Linked DNA regions of Drosophila melanogaster. The protein of the gene in region 3 interacts with the protein of the main gene of each other region in a pairwise test. Each region holds a gene or a part of one and is shown on either strand. Other genes may lie near its edges.

Region 1 (6,877 bases), on a different chromosome or scaffold from region 3:
TGCGCCGAGGCCGCCGTGAGGCAAATGCTAAGTGGTCCGGAAACTTGTGAAATGATTGCGCGGATAGCTGAGGAGGTTGTTGTAGACAATGATCGGGAGAAGCTGAACTTGCTTCACAAGTGTTTTTTCCAAACTGACACGGGAGACATACTCATTAATGCTAAAACTGTGGATAAAATACTGCTGTCCATGTGCGGACCCTTGGAGCAACCGGTTGTCGATGACGCGGTGGAAGTGTGTGGCAGTTTTATTGCCCAGATAATGCCTGTGATTTGCAGCAACAATAACTCTTCGCTGCACGTGCGCCAACACATCTTCCTCAAACTGTTCAAATTTAGTTTGGAGCACCGACCAGAGGATTATCTGTCGGAGGATACTCTGTGGGAAATTACCACTTGCTGGCAGGATGGACTTTCTAGCAAAGATATCGAAATCGATGATGACATGCTAAAGTGTTGCGCAGGGATTGTTGAGGAATTGGCAAATTCAGCAGAACTTAAAGCGGATACTTTGGATGGAATGGCAGAGGCGATGGCCAAGTTTGTTATTTGCTCAACGGAAAATATTGAAGATGAGTATAAGCGCTTGGAGCGAATCGATGAAACATTAACTGCTCTTCTGGAAACGCCCCTAAAAACGACTGACAAGGTTCAACAGTTTGAGAACCATTGTGTACTCCTAGAAGCCTTGCACGGATCTGTGACTGCGGGAGTTCCGTTCGAAAATGCTTGCCTCTCAAGAAATGAAATACTACCATTGCTTCAACGTTCCACACTCAACTTTTCTACAATCTACAAGCTCGTCTATCAATTCCCACCACCTCAAGACACCAACGACCCAGAGGATGAGTTGACCGAGGACTATTGTGATCCAAATGCTGATGTGCTCAAAAAATGGAACGAACCCTTAATTGCAGAGCTTTTACAGTGCATTCGAGTGGCTGGAACAGCAGAATGCTGGCTGGAAATGTCAGTCTTGCAATCGTCGACAGAGGAGTTAGTGTTGATCCTTTCGGAGAAAGTGCAAAGCTTTATGGGCAACAGCAGCGATCTGGTTGCAATAGTAAAGGAGCGTCTTCAGCAAGCGGCTGTGCAGCAGTCCAGCGTAATTGACTGTCGTCTTTTAAGTTACCTTAGATTTTGCCCACAGTATGCGGCTTTCGAAGAGAGTGCCTCCATTTTGCTACATGAAGATCTGTCAGAAAATCTAGTGACGCAGGGAGCGCTCAAGACCTATGTAATAGCTCTACAGGTAGGAATTCTAAAAGAAATCCAGGAACACTTAATAATGCCTTGTGTCTTACAGTTTCTCTTACCGAAGCTTTCTCAAAAAGCGATCACTCTTAGTTCTGCGATTATGGGAACAGAACCGCCTGAAATTTGGGTTAAGGCAGCAGTGTTTCATGCTCTACTATTAAACAATTTTGAAGGCGATGTGAATGAGCAAACGGATCGCAATATAATTGTATCAGCCGTACAGTTTATGACCAGCATAGGGGAAAGGCAAGCCAGCCAGAAGGATTTACTCCATTATAATGTGTAAGACAATATAATTTTCATAAAATGTATATGATTCAAAACCCAAGTTTGTATTTTTCAGAGAAATTCAAAGGCAACCCTACGAATCAGTTATAAATACAGTGGAGTTCATAAAGCTTTTAACTGAAGTTTTAAAACGTTTTCCATACGAATTGAGTATAAAGAACTGGGACGCTATTCGCATTGGCCTTAGTTCTTGGGTGCTTTCTGTTTCAAAATCTATAGCACAATACCAAGACCCAAAGGTAGGCTTTATAAATAAATTTCTTTCATAATTAATAATAAATTATCTTTAATTGAAGACTTCGCTTTTTATTGTGGCTGTTTACGAATTGTTTGCCGCCCTTATTGATTTTATACGCTCCGAGAAGCAAAAGAGTTCCACGGAATTACTCAAAAACATGATCGACGAATGGGACTCTTTGTTTGCCAAGGAAGTCAATTTAGTGCTCTTTAAGTCATATTACCTATTGACCCACGAGGTTAGTGTGGATCCAGGATTTCAGGCATGCTATGAGGCCTTACTAGAACAAATAACACCGGTCATAGAGCGACTGGACTACAGCTTTGTGTACTCGGTAATCAAGTGAAATATTTTGTTGTTTTTCTATGGCTAATAACTTCAAAAACCTTTTTACACTTCAGTTCTGCAAGTCAAATAGTAACATCACCTTGGACCACCTCTGCAATTTCCTGTTCAAGCAGCTTTATAGTGTCCAGCACTCAGTTCGATTAAGTGCTGTACACTCGCTTCGCCAATTAACGCCACACTTTGTGGCGGACGACATAGAGCTGAATGAGAAACAAAGTGAGAGTCTAGACGCCAGCACAACGATTTGCAAGTGGCACTTCCTCAATCGCTTTGAGGACTATCTAACACGCTACGATGCACTGATAACTAAATACCTGGAAGAGTTCACGTTCAAGCTATCAGAGCTGGATGATCTCGAACCCATAGACAGACACAATGCACTGAGTTACCTTTTCTTATGGGATTGTATTATCAATGCTTGCGCTAAGTCTCCAGTTGCATTGCGCGCTGTTTACACCAATTGGCTGAATGATAACAAATACGAAGAGGTTGGAAACGATACATTAAATTTACTAATAATTTTAAATTTACACTTTCAATTTCTTTGCTCCACAGAATTTCCTTCACTTCCTTTTCCGCGCAATGCCCGTGGACATACTTAAGAACCACGGTGCCAAGGTCCACAGCAACGGCGTTTACAAAGAGCTGACCTGGTCTCAGCAGAAGGGTAAGCTGAACATTACTTAGATTATTGTTTCCTCCGATATATCCGTATTGAGAACGTCGGGCAAGTAGTCCTCCCCATATCCATAGTCGTCATATTCAGCGGCTCCGTGCTCGACATCGTTCATCATTTCCTCTGCATCCGCCTCATCGGATACAGAAATGAAATCTGACAAGGGCACAAACTGTTCGGGATCGTTCTCTGCCATCATCTGTCGTTTTACAGGTATTTGCTGAGGTGTCAAGTAAATGTTTAAGTTTGATATGAACTTGTTGACCCAAACGGTTAGGTTGTTGGCCAATATCCTCTGATACTCTTGCAAATTACTTGTCGTATAGAATTCTTGATCTTTTGATGATTTCAATTAGTTAATTTTTGAAGTGTCCCAGTTAGATTCAACTTACCTGTAAATTCTCGAAGTCTCTCAAGAATTACGCAACATAGAGGGGAGTTCTCGTCAACAATAAACTGATCGTTGAGTAGAAAGTCCTTCATTTCCTCGAACAGTACGCAAATTATCTTTTGCATCTGCTTGCGCTGGCGCAAAATGATTCGTTTTTTTAGACCCTTGCATCGTCGCTTTTGGACACGCTTCGCTGCCTTGCGCTGACGCATCTCCTCCTCCATGTATTCCAGCGCCTTCTCCATTGACATGGCTTCTACCGGAGGTTTGGGTTTCATCTGGTTCTCTAGAGCCGCTATATGACGAGGCGAGAGGTAGTCCTTAAAGAAATTGTATGTGTCACTCACTCGCATTGGGTGAGGATCGGCAAGTCGTTCAACCCGTGCTGTACATTGGTTAACGTAGATCTTTTTGGTGTAGTAGCGCGCCTGTTTGGCCAACTGGGGTGAGGAGAAGTCCTTCTTGGGTGTAGCTAGAAAACATATGTGTTCCTCGCGGGACAACACGTCCCGGTCGATGATTATTTGTCCCGTGTGTTGGCAGGGCACATAGCAAGGATGGTAGCGGGGACAGACACAGATGAACCTTCAGGCCAATGTATATATTGTATTGGTTTTAATCGAATCGTTTATTGTTTATAGTAAAAAAGGAAAGTTAAAAGTCTGATTTAATTTATGAAAAAACATTCCAAAAGCCAAAGCAATTCCGAAAATATGCATGTATTGGATATGGAAAAACTTGATACTTACTTACCTGTACAATGCTTGCGTCTCATTGGGGGAAAACTTAACTAAGCGGCGAATGCGTTTGGCACGAGTCTCGCGCACATGAACCATGGCCAGGCGAGCGTTTAACTCGTCCGCTACGGTTGGTCCATCCTGCTGAAACTCCTCAGGCTTGTGCTCCTTGCGCGTATCGCATTGCGTCTTCAGGAAGTTTATGGCTTCGGCCACCGAAGTCTCGCCCTCAAGTTGAATGCGCTTTGGCTGCGGCATCTCGGAGGGTATATCCTTGAAGTTTATTGGGTTTTCCATGCTTTCAAATAGAACGGAAATACAAAAAAAAAAAAATAAGAAGCGGATCAATACACAGAACGGTAGGAGACTAATGATTTAAAGTGAACTGTTTTCTATATAAACATAATTTGACTACTCGCAGCCTGGCTTGCCTTGTTACATTTCTTGATCCATTTTGCAGATCGACATCTACCCCTGGAGCGATATGCCTGCCACTTGTACACGGAGGTGCTCCGCAAGCTGCCTGCCGTGGTGCGCAGGTGGTGGAACGCCACTCAGTCCAGGCAGAAGAACTTCATAGACAACCTGACCACAAACTACGTGAGTTCTTTGATTTGCAGCGAGGAGCTCAAAGCGATCGCCAATCGCAAGGAGAAGCACGAGAATATGCAGGTAAGCGGATGTGTCCTTTCAAGTCTTTATTCTTGCTCTGGGGTGCTTAGCCGAAGGGAAAAAACCACGGTGATGCTAATCAGCAGTATGATAATGACAATAACGCGAAATATCTCAAGAGGCACCATATCTCTGCTAGAAGGGATATAAGTGTGCTTTCGCTATATATTTAAATTTCCGTTGAATAAAAAAACTTTGGATATTTTGTAAATCCCAAACAATCATAGTCTACTGAACTATGTGACTAAAGTTGACATTTCTCTATTCTAGGTTACCGTTCATTCCTCCACCCGCGAAGTGCTAGCGGTCTACGCCATCGATGAGGCACGCATGGAACTTGTAATAACGCTGGCTCCCAATTATCCACTGGGAGCTGTTAAGGTCGAGTGCGGCAAGCAGATCGGCGGACGTGCTTCCTCCCGAAATGTCGGCATGCAGTTGACCATCTTCCTGACACACCAGGTATATTGATATTGATACATTTCGTATGTTACTCGATGTCCGCTGAATAATAATATTAAAATTGTCTTATGCAGAATGGCACCATATATGACGGCCTAACTATGTGGAAAAACAACTTAGACAAAAAATTCGAGGGCGTTGAAGAGTGCTACGTGTGCTATACTGTTATCCACCAGGAGACTTGCCAGCTACCCAAACTAACGTGTAAAACGTGCAAGAAGAAATTCCACGGACCTTGTTTGGTAAGACTCCTCCAAGCTGCTTTTTTTTTCTCCGATCTAACGAAATGATTACATTTTTTTTAGTATAAATGGTTTACCACAAGCAGCAAGTCCACCTGTCCCATTTGCCGCAACGTCTTCTAGATGTGTGTATATATCATTAACAATTTTAGCAACACGTATTGAGCAAAAGGCACAACCAAACCATTCGATATAGGAAATAGTTTCAGGTCTCACAAATTGTAAATCAGCAATATTAATAAATCTTACAATGTTTTAATGTTCTTGAATATATATATAGTGCAGGGATTGAAATTATTTAATTGTAAAAACTAAATAGTGCATTAAAATTAAAGAAAAATTAAAAGTTTGAAACAAAGTATGTCGTGGAAGGGTAATCCATAGCAAATAACAAGTTTGTTTTACTAAAACAGTTCTCAAACGATATCAGTACTCACAACAACACTGTACAACACAATACAATTTTACAATATATTTAATGCTGTCAGTGGATAATCAAGAACTTTTTATATTATGGCTACAAGAATAAAAGTAATGGGTCAGTGCCCATATTGTAATCGTCATGTGGCCAAAGACTTAAGACCTATCAACATGCTGTCCGCACAGGATGCCAAAAGGATTTCTAAACTGGTAAACGAAGTGCAGCCACCACTTCATTTGGAATCCGAGGAGGAGACGCAAGATCAGGAGGAAAAAGTACAAGGTAATATAACCAAAAAAGAGCGAGTTTCGATGAGAAAGGGAAGGAACATTTCTGTAAGGAAGTTAATAGCCAAAAAAACTATAAAAGCTCCGCTCTCCCAGAGTAAATCGAAGATAGATACTAGGAACAGAAAATCAAGTTTTACGAAGAGGAAGAAAGAAATACTTGGGATGTATGAACCTAAAAAAATCGAATTAAAAAAACCAACGCGGATGTCAAACAGAAGGAGCCGAATTCAAGACGTTTTAGATTTCGAGGAGAAAATGGAAGAAGATTCTTGCCAACAGGAGCATTTAAACAATGATAAAAGTTCACCAGAAAACTTGGAAGAATGCTCGTACAACCCGAATGAATTGAATAAAAGTCATAGTTTACTGGAGGAATTGGTTATAGATAAAGATCCCTGCGCCCAGGAGGAGCTTAAAGATAGTTACAATTCACAGGATAAATTGGGAGAAAAGGATGTCCCGAAGGGATCTGCGAAGGAGGATAAATCAAAAAATGTTGACGCGATCACTGGATGTGTATTGGGGTTGGTAGAGAAGGAGTTTGGGCGTGATCCGGCCTGCAGTGAATCATCCGAGTCTTTGAAGGGAAATGCCGAGGTCATTGTGGCCATGCTGACCGAGGAGCAGGATATGATGCGGAAGATTAAAAAGCGGTCCTCGCAGTGTTCTTGGTGGGAGAACGAAGAGCCGCCTGCTAAAAAGCGCAAATATTAGTGCGAGACCAATATATTTATATTTTGTTGCCTTTTCAAAATTAACAGTCATACCGTTCGGCTGCCCACGTGCTGACCTTTTTACACCATCATCCACCACTCGGCACAATAAACCTTCCCTTTTGAGCATGCGCCCTGGTGAA
Region 2 (6,960 bases), on a different chromosome or scaffold from region 3:
CGGATGCCTGGTATTGACCATCGTCCTCATCGATATGCTCGTGGATCTCTTCGAATGTATGATAATGCCTACTTTCCGTACTCTCATCCGCATAATTGGGACTCACATTTTTTCTTCGAGCACCAGATGGCTTATATTTCAGTTTATTCCTCGTCATTTTATCGCCTTGCTTTTGATAGTTTTTCACACCGCGTTTCAAAGTCACATTGCGTTCGGTTTCCCGATTATAATGTTGCAGATCCAGCTTTTCCGATCTTCTTCCGGTATTGTGAGTAGATCCTTTTCCGTATTCAGGATAGCTCCACTCGGCACTTTCGACACTATTGGTTTTATTCACAGCATAGGAATTACTGTGTGCAGTACTTCCAATAATTATTAAGGTTATGAATAGGTATCCAGGAATCAAAGTTAACTGAAATAGAAAGGATGCGCGTAAATGAAGTATGTACATACAAAATATCTCCTATCAAAAAGACAAATTGGAAATATAGCTTACCATTGGGTTCATTTTTTGTTAAGTATATAGTCTCGCTTGGATTTGAAGTGGTTTAATCAACGCCTTCAACAGAAATGATTTGAGCCAATCGAAGAAAGTATTTATATGAGCACGAAACATAATTAAAATGTGCAGAAGCAAATTTCTTCGCTTGAAGTTTGTACACTCTATATTTTTCTTAAATTAAGAAATTATACAAAAACATCAAGAACTAATTTGTTTTGGTTTGATTATTTAAAATGTATGCATGTTTTTATTCATTTTTAATTAGATATACAAATGTGTAGCTTTGAAATGCCGTCAGAAATAAACGACCTTTTTAAAAGAGAATAAAACTGCACAAGTTTACTTATATTTTTTTTTACGATTGAAAGCCCACGGTCGCGTGACGCAAGTTGTGTGTGTGTTTGAAGAAGTGTACAAGTGCAATATCTTTATAAATGTTTGAAATTTCTCTAGGTGAATATTTCACAGAAGCCCGTAAATGTAATAATTAAAGTGCATTGAGCTCCGCTTTACGGAAATGCTATGGATTGTGTAATTTCCTGCAGTATCCGTTGCTGTTTTCAAGACTACCAAAACTACGTTTTCCGGATACCCATTTTGGAATGCAGAGAACAGGGTTAATTAACACATAACATTGGAGCTCCTCTCGAAAGGCAAATAAAAAGTTTATTATACAAATTTAAGTTGGATATATCGGGAGCTTGAATAAACAATGGTCAGCTTAATCTAATTCGATTCTATTCTCTAAGAATAGGCTGCTCGTGTGCATCTTTGATTCCTTAATTTTTAAGTGCGAGCCCAGCAAATCGTCCATGGTGATGCGGACGTTGTTGCGATCAAGCGCTGTAGCTGACGGATCTCTGGACGTGATGAGCTGCCTCATTCGGTAAACTGAAGCATTCCGGCACATTTCCCGCAGGTCTGAGCCCGAGAAGCCATTTGTGAGCTTGGACAAGCGATTCAAGTCGACATCCTGACTTACTTCCTCCGATTGGAGGATCAGCTTCAGGATGTCTTTTCGTTGGGTCTCCGAGGGCAGACCAATGTGGAATTGGGCTGGCATGCGGCGCACAATGGCCTTGTCTAAATCCTGCGGCCTGTTCGTGGCACCCATCACAATCACCGTCGAGTTGGCGTTCGTGCTGAGGCCATCCCACAGCATCATAAACTGGGTCTTCATCATGGCGGTAGCCTCGTGGTCGTTCATGTTTCGAGATCGCAAAAATGAGTCTATTTCGTCAATAAAAATAATGCATGGCTCGATTCGCGATGCAAGCGAGAAGACAGCAGAAGTCAATTTCTGGGATTCCCCGTACCACTTGTCGGTAAGAATGGCGACGTCCAAGTTGATAAAGCGCATTCCCGCCTCTTTTGCCGTCGCCTTCGCTATCAGCGTCTTTCCACAGCCCGGTGGTCCATGGAGCAGGACGCCTTTGGGCGCCTGCCACAGCTTCGAATGCTTGAAGAGATCCTTGTGCTGGATTGGCAGCACCACCGATTCCCGGAGCTCCTGAATGACTGAATCCAGACCGGCGATATCGGCCCAACTGACTGTTATGTCGGCGGGAACAACAAGATGTGACGCAATCATAAGCTCGTAGTCGCTAAACTCTTGCCCTCTTAGCTTGAAGCCCTCCTGCTCGGCTAGCCTGCATGGAAAAGGTTTACACATGTACAATATATGCTATATGAGTCTAATATAAACCTCTTAAGCTGCTCCTCAGCCAGAACTTTGGCCTTTTTCTTGTTTTTACTGGTCGGATCCATCTGGTTCATCATCCATTTCACCGAATAATATGTGATCAGCGAGGCCACAGACAGGCGAACCAGTACCTGGAATATCTGCCCCTTGCTTAGATCCGATCCGCCCAGTCCGAAGTTGTCCATGTTTCTGCAGATATTCTATTTAGAGCAAATACGTTGGCCTGCACGAATCTAATCTTTCTTGTTCTTATTCCCCATGCACACCGACGACAGTGTGACCAGGTGCTCCGACTGAAATTGACATCGATAAGCTCAAAATTGCTGCCAACTGAATTCAATTTTTGTTAGCCTATTCCTTTTCCACTGTTCCGAAAATATTTTTTCAGCTTAAAATAAAAAGATTTTTTTTTTTTTTAATTTTGAGTATTAACATATTGGGCATATATTAAGTGAGAGCATTGTGAAGCATGAAGATTAAAACCCACAAATTCAAGTGACAATTTTGCTCTTAGGGTGTATAGTGCCTGGGGTCAATACTCCAAATCTTCAACTTGGCGTCGATCCACGGACGAAGCTTGGCCACGCTGGCGTACACTCCGGGAATGTTCACCTCGCCGCATCCGATGCCCCAGGCAACAATGCCGGCGGACTTGAAGCGGTTCTTCTGGCCAGCAATTGGACACACCAGTGGGGAGCCACCATCACCCTTGCAGGTGTCCTTGTCCTTCTCACCGCCGGCGCAAATGAAGCTGTCGTGCAGAATGAAATGCCTGCCGAGTCGAGTTTCGCGCAGATTCGTCTCGCACTGCTGCTCGGGCACCACGGGCATGTCGACCTTCTTCAGGATAACCTGATATTCCCCATCCTTGCCGAACTTGTTCTTGCCCCAGCCGGTGGCATAGCAGCGATCGAAATCGAATTTATCACCCACATTGGGCAGGCAAACGGTCTGAATGTTCTCCTGGAGGGTGAATGGACTTTCCAACAGCATGACAGCCACATCGTTATAGAGCGATCCCTTGTTGAACTGCTCATGGTAGATTATTTCCTTGACATATCGGTCTTCGTGCCTTCTGATCTCAGTCTGCGTTTGCGTATCCCATTCGCCAGCTCTCACTAAATGCCAGTTCATAATTAGATCTCATAGATGGCATAGATGGCATGTACACTTACCAACAATGCTACTGGGCTGTTTGTTGTGAACGCAATGCGCCGCGGTCAGAACCACATTGGGAGCTATCAATGCTCCTCCACATTCGTACAGGTTAAGGTTGCCTTCTTCCCGGAGAATGGCCAGCATCCAGGGGAATTCGCCGAATTCGGCCTCCTGGTTGACAGCTCCAGTGATCTTAAAGCCAACGCCGTTGGGATTTTGGTAACCGCAGCCCTCGGGATGATCAGGCTTAAACTCGAAAATCGGATCTTTTCTCTTAACAAATAAAATTATAGTTTAATTTAAGTAATCAAAGCTTATTGGTATTTATGTATGTGTTACCTTGTTGGGCAGATCACAGCAAAGATCCAAATAGTTCTTGCATTCGGCGTCCGTACCAAGTCGAATGTCAATGATACCATCGCCACTGGTGTTAATCGTATCATTGGCGCACAACCAGCGAGGAACACACTCCTTTTGATCGCCACAGGACTGGTACTGCGTTGAACTCGATCCTCCGTTTTCGGATCCCGTGCTACCGGACGAATCCTTGGGGTTCACCACTGGCGGGGGAGGGGATGATGGTTTGGGTGTTTCGTCCGTTTTAAAGATGTCCGATATCAATTTGTCCAAGGAAGAGTCCTGGGCACCACAGGAAAATATGCACAGGCATATTACTAGGCAATTTAGTAATATCATATTCCTGGAAAGCAAAATTAAATCATGCTCTTTACATATTTACATAATTAAGGTCAGAAAGCTCACTTATTCGAGGAAAGAGATGAAGATGAAGGTAAGCAAAGTGAGTAAAGCTCGAGTATTGGTAATATAATAATGATTGTTATTGCTGGAATATCGCACTTAAACCGGATAAAAGGTGAATGTGATTCCCCCAAAACAGAGTGACACATTTTAATGGAAGGGAGACGCGGATACGAATACGTTTATGTTTATGCGGCGAACAATTAACCTAATTAACTCTAGAATGTATTGTCTTATCAGTGAGGCTTTGCTTTCTTTTTTGAATACTAAAATTCCGAGCAAATATATACATATGTACGTATTGTTTCTTTTAGATCGCCTCATTATCAATCCTGATTGCTTTTTTGTTTAAATATGACTTTTGGCGATAAGAAATGCTAATGTATTGCGGTGGGTCAATTTTCGCTGTCAATAAAAACAAAGCATGTATAATTACTTTAAAACACAAAAATAGTTTCTTATGTGTAAGCGCAATCCCTCCATTTTTCGCAAGAGTTAATAATAAGTTATAACACACTAATTAATTGCCATTTACACACAAAGGTTCACCATTTTTGCTAACAATATGTTCCTTGCAAATAAAATAGGGCAAAAACTGGTTTTAGTTTCGAGTAAACTTAGCATTATACAATTCTTCTTCATTAACATATATAAATGTATTCCCATTGCCGCTGATTTGTGCTCATAAAAGTACGTGAGGCGGTGATATTTTGTACACTTTATTCATTGAACTTTAAGATCTTTTTGATTGATTAAAATATGTATATACACATGTACATACATATATGGATGAAAAATGTATTGTAGATGTTACAAGACATAGAAACCACCAAAAAGATTAAACTCTATCAGATATCCACATAACTGAACTACACATTTTCAATAAATTGAATTTGAGTCCAATTTTATTTAGTATAAAGTGTACTCTATTAGTAAGACTTACTTAATTTATCAAAGTAGCGCAACGTTCGCTGAGCAATGAAGAAAACACTCAACTGAATTGATTTCTTATTCAATCTTAAGTCTCAGCCGATGATCTTCTGACGAGAAGCTTTGAAAGCTGGTTCCAATTGAAGTTCCCAGCTTACGTATTACACAGCGGAAAACCAGTTCAAAGTTTTATTTTATTTTATAAATTTATAGATAATAAACATACACAAATTATGTACGTATATTTGTTATTAAAAACCGTTTTAATGGTTTAGCGTGTTTGTAAAATGCGATTTCAAATATTTATTTATTTTTATTCTCGAGCCAAGGAACAACTGGAATTGAAGCCCGATAACGATAGCTGTGCGACAAAATCGAAAGCATCAGTGTGTCCGTGAGTTTCGCCTCTAGACCTGTGTGTGTGACATTTGATGCGCCTACACATACATATGATGAACAGGAATTCTTTTTAGTTCATCAAATGAATACAAAGTAAAGTAAATTGAAAGGAAGCGCCGATCGCAGTTGTTCAGTATTCAGAGAAACATGGAGCCGTTTACCCATAATGATGGCAATCGCGACGAACTAATAATTCAGCAGAAACGGGATATTGAAAAAGAGGTGAGTCTGCAGAAACACTTACACACAATAGCGACAATGAACCGAGAAATAATGCCGAATTTCAATAATTGCAGATCAGCGACACAACTCCCTTGGTCAGCGAGCAGTTGCCACTCACCTGCTTGTATGCGGAATACAGTGGCGACGAGATCTTCACCGCCAAGATCCAGGATCTGTCCAAAAAGTACAAGTTCATTCGCCGCACCCGCCCCGATGGCAATTGTTTCTTCCGAGCCTTCGCCTACTCCTACTTGGAGTACTTGATCTCAAACACCAGTGCCTACCAGGAGTTCAAAAAACTGGCCGAGGAGTCCAAGGAGAAGCTCGTTCAGCTGGGATTTCCTAGTTTTACATTGGAGGACTTTCACGAAACGGTATGTTTAGCCGTACAAATGCAAAACGAATTCCCTATGCTTATGCAGCCTTTTGTATGTCCAGTTCATGGAAGTCATCCAGCGCGTTAGCCCCGACAATGCAGGAGGACACAGCACGGTCCAAGATGAGTTGCACAAGATCTTCAATGAGCAGGGTTACTCAGACTACGTGGTGGTTTACCTACGTTTGATCACCTCGGGAAAACTGCAGGAGGAGGCCGATTTTTACCAAAATTTCATCGAAGGCGACCTCACCATTGAGGCGTTCCGCCATCTGGAAGTGGAGCCGATGTACAAGGAATCGGATCACATCCACATAATCGCTCTATGCACCGCCCTCGGCGCTGGAGTTCGTGTCGAGTACTTGGACCGTGGCGAAGGTGGGACTGTGAAGGCCCACGATTTCCCCGAGGGAAGCGAGCCCCGAATTTACCTGATATATCGACCAGGCCACTACGATATACTGTATCCAAATTGAATTGCTCTCAGTAGTTTCTAGATTACGAAACGATTTATGTATATAAGATGTATAATAAACTACCATTTATTTGCATATATGGTGAATATTTTCCTTCTCTTTTGGTTCTGCATAAGATTGAGATTGATTGATTAGCCCAGCAATGGAAACACAGATTTTACACATATCGTAGATGTTAATTTATTTAAACACTAATCTTTATTATTTGATTTGAACGATTGTGATAGTGACATAATGAAATTGTCTAATGTTTTATAAAATATTAAGTTTTATTAACGGTACTTCGCCATCATTTCATCCGGAAATTTCTGGCGATGCGCAGACAATGAGAGGTTGACAATAATCTCCCGGTCGTCCATCCGTCAGGCGCCTCCACAGTATGATTTAATTGTAGGATGATATTGACCACAAGATTTCAGCTCAGTAAAGACTTCGG
Region 3 (7,438 bases):
TAGAGGGCAAGGTCTTTGGAGTTGCACCTCCGATTCGAATGTGGGTCCTGGTCGTGTCGATTGCTTATTCCTTGCTGGGATGGGCCTGGATGTAGGCGATGGCCTTCAGGATGGCCTCTGGGATTGGAGGAGGAGTGGGCAGGAGGTCGCTCTGGGGCTGGTATCCGTTCTCGTCGGCCTTGTAGCTCACACGGACGTGTTCGCCCTCGGGGGAGACCCACTCGAAAACTCCGTCGATGTTTCCGTGGACATCTCCGGTAGCAGAAGCAGCGGAACCGTTGTCCAGGACCAACTTGCTTACGAAGCCATCGGCTTGGACATCGTTGACCAGCTCCTTGACCTCGGGATTCTCGTTGGCGGCCACCAGGGCGACAAGGGCGCAGACAAGCAGCTAGGATATTCCGGGATTACTCATTGAACTGTCCGGCTTTAAACTTCAGATACTTACGATCTTGAACATTTTGACTTGGTTAGATTGTCAGACTAAAGAACTCGTGAGACTGATGCCAATTCGGGATCACTCGTCGGCTTTTATACGCTTATACGCACTCCCCACGAAATCTTAAAGCTGATCAAAAGCTGATGCAACCCGTTTTTAATTAACATTTCGGCCAGCATAGGTCTCGTTTGGTTTTACGGACTGGTTCAAGTGACATGCTTGGTGGCGATAAAAATCGTCTGCTGCACTCTTTTTGATTTCTATTGTCTATGCAAATCGCTACCGTAATTATTCTAAAAAGAATCGGGTTACTCGGAAAAGGGTAAGTCCACCTTCTCATTGAAATAATTTAACATCTTCCGGAATATTTAGTCAGATAACTTTGAATTACTCCAGACAAATCATATAAAAATAACTTGATTGAATAATGTCTAAGCTGCTGATAGTAGAAGTTTAATTATTAGGAGGTGAAAAATAACTAGAAAACAAAACTTTTTTGCGAACCGCTTGTAGATCCAGCATACCTTTCGGAGCATCATTTGGTTTCTATCTGCGAAATGACTGGGAACGGGTTTATGGAATCTAACATTCTGTGTTCACCACCCTCAAGACTTGACTGACCGGGACTTGACATAAATCCTACTAAATTAAAATCTGCATAAACATTCTATTCCTCAAAAACTCTTACTCATATAACCTTTGTAAATAACATAGATATTAAGAATAGTTTAAATTGATACCGATAAGATTGGGTTGCCTAAGAAGAGCGTACTATTGCTAGTCAATTAAATTATTGTAAATAATTTCGTTTAATAAAAAAAAACATTGTGTGTATATTTTATCTCTAGTTTCCGTTAAGTCAATATGAACATTCCCGTGGAGTTTGACATATACAATGTATACGATTCTTACTTATACAATCACTATTAAACACTTAAGTTACAATATCATAATATAATCAAAAATCCGAAAGCACAGCAATTTGATTGATATTTCTCCAAAAATCACTACAAGATCTTATAACCGTGTAACCTCAGGGAAGTCTGTGTTATTTTTTGTTACGTGTATGACTATTTAAAAAAGGTTAAAAAAAAGATGAAGAATTTGATTTTTACATCTAGGCTTATAATGCCAATTTCAGTTATATTCATAAAAAGACCAATATAAAAACAAAAATTCGACTCGGCTAGTGATAATGATGATGAATATACATACTTTTTAGGTTCGAAAACGCTTCATAATACCCTTAATACCCATAATACCGACATGCGTTCTAACAATTCAAGTGTACCCTTATCCTCTACAAATAATAGATATAAAAAAGTTCCTCGTCGTTTTCATCATACTGCGATCTTATCTGGGATGCATCAGGTTGGCAACATTTAATTACTTGTGGCTGCCTATGAACTTAACTTAAAATAATAACTAGTTATAACCCAGTTTTCGGAAATATGAAATTAATGCAAGGAGATATCGGCTTGTCCAGGTAAGATTTTTGTAATGTTTACATTTATTTTAGATGCTTTAAAGATTTTTGTATTTAAATTAATTTCGTACTATACTATAACAACACAATTGTAATTTAATGAAGGCCAAAGTGTCTTTGATTACTTTTAATCTTCTAATTGTACCTTCTTATACCATATAATACCGGGAGCCTTCTCTTAAATCGAACTGTCAGATTTGTAAAACATGCACTTGGTTTATATTGCAAGGTTTAATTTATTTTCGAATTCGATAACATTTTCCTTAAATTTAAAACAACTGGTAAGAAATTATCCAAACTCAACCTAGCTGTCTCCAATCTTTCATGTTCCTAGTCGGCGGGTTCACTTAGTTCTTGCTGGGGTTAGCCTCGATGTAGGCGATAGCCTTCAGGATGGCAGCTGGGATCGGAGGAGGAGTGGGCAGCAGGTCACTCTGGGGCTGGTATCCGTTCTCGTCAGCCTTGTAGCTCACTCGCACATGGACACCCTCGGGGGAGATCCACTCGAAGACTCCGTCGATGTTGCCGTGGATGTCTCCGGTGGCGGAGGAGGCAGATCCGTCGTCGAGGACCAACTTGCTGACAAAGCCATCGGGCTGGACATCGTTGACCAGCTCCTTGACCTCCACATTAGCGTTGGCGGCCACCAGGGCGGCGAGAGAACAGACAAGCAGCTAGGATAATCCAGGATTAGACTGCGAAGTCACTATGCTCCTCAAGGCATACTTACGATCTTGAACATTTTGATTTGGGTGGATTGTCGGACTAGAAATCTTCTAAGACTGATGACAATCTATGCTCAAATCGGTGTTTATATATCATCAAAAGCTGATGCAATGTGCGTATTATAATTAAGTCAATGTGATGCATATAATAAAAACCGTCTGGGATGCAAATTAGTCGACTTGAGATGGCTTAACCACTTTCATTAGGAGATGAGCATTCTTAGTTATTTATTCAACTGAAATATTCGCCCTAGTCTAACCGAAATGCAAAGCAAACCGGACCAGAAACCAGAATAATTATTAAGCAGTACAATATTTAATTTTCTAAAATTCAACTTCAATATGAACTAAACTTAAGCATAGCATAGTTTTCGGTGTTTCATTTGGTGTGTGGCACGTTGACAACTCTGGCCAAAAGCTTTGCGGGTTTTTTTAAATTAAACAGTGACATCCAAAATATTGAGATACAACAAAATGTCATAGGCAACTAGCACGTTAATATGCAGTATCACTTGCGAAATCGTTTATTCCGGTATATTGTTTATTACCACTTCGGAACCTTTTAAAATAGATGGGACTGCTATCAAGTGAAGTGTATTGGGTTTTTTGATTTTGTACAGGCATGATTGATAAAGACTTGGTCAACTCGAAACGTCATCGATGAGCACAGAATCCGAAAACCGTACTCCATCGCCCCTACAAAATTTCTACCGAAGCATGTTTCATTTCGGAATCTGTTCAGCAGCGCAAGACTTGTTTTTTGACATTTGTATCGCAGAGTCAAGTGGAGAATTTATGGGCCCTGCCTTTTGTTGGCATCATGGGCGTTTCGTGATAACTTAGATTTGGCCCAAAAAGTAATAAGCAATTCGTTTGGAAAGCAACCAAATTGGGAATCATATAAAAAGACTCTGTCGACCAAAGTCAGTTATCAGTCAACGTTCGTTCTCGACCAGACAGAAATCAGCCAACATGTTCAAGTTTGTGAGTGGCTCACAGGACATTTATGAACTCGCCATCTAATTGGTATCATTTCCTCTATCCAGGTGATGATTCTCGCCGTTGTGGGAGTGGCTACCGCCCTAGCCCCAGTTTCCCGCTCCGATGATGTACACGCTGATGTCCTTTCCCGATCGGACGACGTTCGTGCCGACGGATTCGACTCCAGCCTGCACACCTCAAACGGAATCGAGCAGGCCGCCAGCGGTGATGCCCATGGCAACATCCACGGCAACTTCGGCTGGATCTCACCCGAGGGCGAGCACGTTGAGGTAAAGTACGTCGCGAATGAAAACGGATACCAGCCCTCGGGAGCCTGGATCCCCACTCCTCCTCCAATCCCAGAGGCCATCGCCCGCGCCGTTGCCTGGCTGGAGTCTCACCCCCCAGCACCCGAGCACCCCCGTCATCACTAGGACTCGTCACCCGGATCCCGGACCACTCCACGGACTGTTCTCCCGAAACAAATCGCCCAAGTTGTTTAGCTGTACTTCTTGACTTTCAAAAAAATACATGCACTTGCTTATAGCAGTAAAAATGTGTGTGTTCTTCATTGCACTTTTTAGGTAGTTCCTGTAATAATACGAGCTTTTATACCTCTACCTTCGCTGGGAATGCTTCCTTCTACCTTTTATATTCGATTCACTAAATCCATTTATCAAAAATGAGTATATGTGTCCATAAAGAAAAGATGTGCTGAATTAAAAATTAATTTTGTCTTTTAAAATTTGAGAAGGATCTGGGCAGTCTAAAAGATCTGAAAAACAAAAAAGCAAATGTTTGCATACAATTTTATTCTCACTAAAAGTCTCAATGCATTTTTTTTTTATTTTAAGTAGTATTTAAAAGCCAATTAGAGAAGCCAATACCAATGGACAAACTTATTGAAATAGAAAAGCAATGGTCAATGCCACACGAGCCGATTACCCTAGTATATACTCGTAGTACTAATCCCGTGGATTGCCATGCGATGCTTTTTAATGGGTGTGGGGTATCTTCATAGTCAACCCAGATTTCAGAGCACCAATCGTATGAAAGATGTAGCGTATTGACTTGGGTTCAGTTTTGGTGGTTATCAGTCAACGTTCGTTCTCGAGCAAACAGAAATTGGAATCTAAAATGTTCATGCTCGTGAGTAACGGCAGGATACGAACGTATTCAATGTCTATGCTCTCGTTCACGTGGTGATCTGTGCAGTTTTTGGATTGAGTGGCTCATCCCCCATCCCCCATCCGTAGGACGTTTCGAAAGTGACAACGCCGATGTCCACTACCAATCATACGATGTTTATACCGATGGATTCGATTCCAGCAGTCTGCACATATTCAACGGAATCGAGCGGGCCGCCAAAGCAGATATCGATGGTATTTTTCAGGGCACTATAAAATGGATCACCCCCGAGGGCGATCACGTCGAGGTCACGTACGACGCTGGTGAGAACGGATACCAGGCTTCGATCAGCCTTGATTCCGACTCCTGCACCAATCCCGAAGGCGTTCCACTGACCGGTACCCGAGCATCCGCACCATCACCAAGACTCTTCACCCCGATCTCAGACCCATCCACCGACTTTCCATCGACATGTTATATATTATTCAATAAAGTTTTTTACCCGACATAAGTAAATGGTTTCAAAAAGAGAGAAGAATCACCATGAACGGCATTCCACGTAGTGACGAAGCGCACCAGAGAGTACAAAGACAACTTCTATCTGCTGTAGTTGTCTTATTATATTGTGTGATAACCAATAGAAAGGCAGCATAAAAAGTAAAGAGATTGAACCGTAAAATAATCTAAGAAGATAATGAGATAAAAACATACGAAGATAAACTGAAATGATAATACCCGTTACTCGAAAGTAAAATGGAATACTAGGAAAATTATGTAACAGGTAGAAGGAGGCGTTTCACACCATATAAAGTATATATATTTTTAAAAGCGATCAATAGCAGAGTATGTCCGTATGAACGCCTCGACTTCAAAAACTAGAGAGTTAAGATTAGATATGAAGATTCCAGAGGCCCACAAACGGCCTAAAACTGCCACGCCCACACGTTTTGAACAATTCAATAATTTTTTTCATATTATTATTTGTTTCCAAATTTTTACCGATATTCAAAAAAGTATTGAAATATATCGGTCACACTTCCAGCTGAGTATAGCATTCTCTCTTTTTAAAATAAGACTGGGAATTTGTTTGGTTGTTTGTCTGTCTGCAAATGCACCTCAAATAAATAATGTCATAAAGCGTCCCGAACGAGTAACTTTTAGATATTGTATTGTCTTAGTTGAATAAAAACTCTATTTTCGTCACAACAGTTAATATTAGAAGCTTGGATTGTTAAAGGTGCGATAGTCACTAGCATAAATCTCAGAAGAGGCTATTCTGTTTGATTACAAATTAATCTTAACTTTCAAACCAAATTTGTGAGGATACTGTGCGGTCTAACTGATCTGAAAAACAAACTATTCAAGCTCTTATATTAGATGTTCGGCTTGCACATTTAAATACCATGAAATGTATCTATAGGAATTATAAATTTTAAGTAAACTTTTAGTTTATATGCCTATACAGACAAGTAAATATCCTCTTTAGGTTAACATTAGGTTTTCTTAACAATTTTAATTGTCACTAAAAAACTATGTATTTCGGTAGCCTCCTATATGGAACAGGTCTTATTATCTTATTTAATTTTACGAAATATAAAAAAATAATATAAGGCGCTATGCATATGAAATATAATGTAAAACACACTTGAATTTGTTTAAAAGCAAACTGCAACCTGTTCGTCGAGAGGAATTGATAAAAAAAAGAAGAAATGGTGCCAAGGTAGAGACACACGTTTATATATTACAAAACATCGAGTCTAAGAAGTCGGCGATGCTTTGTAGTCCATGGAGTCTTGATGGGACTACAAAAGTGGTTCACGGCCTGGCAATGCCAAGTCAAGCTCAAAGGAGGGGATTTAATGAAGGGGCGGGTCAAACTCGTTTCGATTTCGGGATGCCACCCGACCCGTTTGCCCCTTATTGATGCGATTGTTTCATTTTAGCATCTATTAAGCGATTATATATAGTACTTATCCCGTTGTTTGGCATTTGCTAAGCTGTCGCATGTGACGATGCTTTTTAATGGGTGTGGGCGCATCCGCGAAGTCAACCCATAACTCAGCGAACCAATTGAATGCAAGATGTAGCGTTTTGATATGGGTTCACTTTGGGTGGCAATCATATAAAAAGGCTCTGCCCGACCACAATCAGTTATCAGTCAACGTTCGTTCTCGACCAGACAGAAGTCAGCCAATATGTTCAAGTTTGTAAGTGTCCGCAGGATACGAACCAACATACTCGATCCCTAACGAATGCCTATTTCTCCTTCAGGTCATGATCTGCGCAGTTTTGGGCCTGGCGGTGGCCAACCCCCCGGTGCCCCATTCCCTAGGCCGTTCGGAGGATGTCCACGCCGATGTCCTTTCCCAATCCGATGATGTTCGTGCCGATGGATTCGATTCCAGCCTGCACACCTCCAACGGAATCGAGCAGGCCGCCAGCGGTGATGCCCATGGCAACATCCACGGCAACTTCGGCTGGATCTCACCCGAGGGCGAGCACGTCGAGGTTAAGTACGTCGCCAATGAGAACGGATACCAGCCCTCGGGAGCCTGGATCCCCACTCCTCCTCCAATCCCAGAGGCCATCGCCCGCGCCGTCGCCTGGCTGGAGTCCCACCCACCAGCACCCGAGCACCCCCGTCATCACTAGAACCTCTATGAAAGCGGATCGCACTAC

Evidence for each region. The genes of interacting proteins can lie anywhere in the genome.
Region 1: the proteins of Lcp2 (region 3) and Rcd7 interact in a two-hybrid assay, tested with the Drosophila melanogaster proteins (one large-scale study listed by BioGRID).
Region 2: the proteins of Lcp2 (region 3) and CG5390 interact in a two-hybrid assay, tested with the Drosophila melanogaster proteins (one large-scale study listed by BioGRID).

What each region holds. Positions count from the first base shown.
Region 1 is NT_037436.4:19,543,038-19,549,914, reverse strand, and holds Rcd7 (reduction in Cnn dots 7), read right to left. Parts: upstream 4,806-6,877; 5' UTR 4,735-4,805; coding exon of another isoform or gene 4,633-4,734; 5' UTR 4,607-4,632; coding exon of another isoform or gene 4,395-4,606; 5' UTR 4,366-4,394; intron 4,312-4,365; exon of another isoform or gene 4,233-4,311; 5' UTR 4,232-4,232; coding exon 3,951-4,231; intron 3,783-3,950; coding exon 3,199-3,782; intron 3,143-3,198; coding exon 2,814-3,142; 3' UTR 2,798-2,813; coding exon of another isoform or gene 2,686-2,797; 3' UTR 2,622-2,685; downstream 1-2,621. Other genes in the region: CG46435 (uncharacterized protein), read right to left, coding at 4,633-4,734; Ltn1 (listerin E3 ubiquitin protein ligase 1), read left to right, coding at 1-1,251, 1,306-1,538, 1,600-1,783, 1,841-2,116, 2,184-2,618, 2,686-2,797, 4,395-4,606, 4,877-5,068 and 2 more; CG46434 (uncharacterized protein), read left to right, coding at 5,845-6,735.
Region 2 is NT_033779.5:10,301,448-10,308,407, forward strand, and holds CG5390 (uncharacterized protein), read right to left. Parts: upstream 5,148-6,960; 5' UTR 5,065-5,147; intron 4,063-5,064; 5' UTR 4,059-4,062; coding exon 3,702-4,058; intron 3,636-3,701; coding exon 3,380-3,635; intron 3,323-3,379; coding exon 2,715-3,322; 3' UTR 2,622-2,714; downstream 1-2,621. Other genes in the region: CG13138 (uncharacterized protein), read right to left, coding at 1-412, 497-508; nmd (no mitochondrial derivative), read right to left, coding at 1,224-2,151, 2,208-2,389; CG4968 (uncharacterized protein), read left to right, coding at 5,598-5,672, 5,747-6,046, 6,111-6,524; Cdk5alpha (Cdk5 activator-like protein), read right to left, coding at 6,887-6,960.
Region 3 is NT_033778.4:8,430,718-8,438,155, reverse strand, and holds Lcp2 (larval cuticle protein 2), read left to right. Parts: upstream 1-3,370; 5' UTR 3,371-3,622; coding exon 3,623-3,634; intron 3,635-3,696; coding exon 3,697-4,065; 3' UTR 4,066-4,359; downstream 4,360-7,438. Other genes in the region: Lcp4 (larval cuticle protein 4), read right to left, coding at 65-391, 449-460; Lcp3 (larval cuticle protein 3), read right to left, coding at 2,273-2,599, 2,656-2,667; Lcp1 (larval cuticle protein 1), read left to right, coding at 6,955-6,966, 7,031-7,411. UniProt on the Drosophila melanogaster protein: Component of the larval cuticle.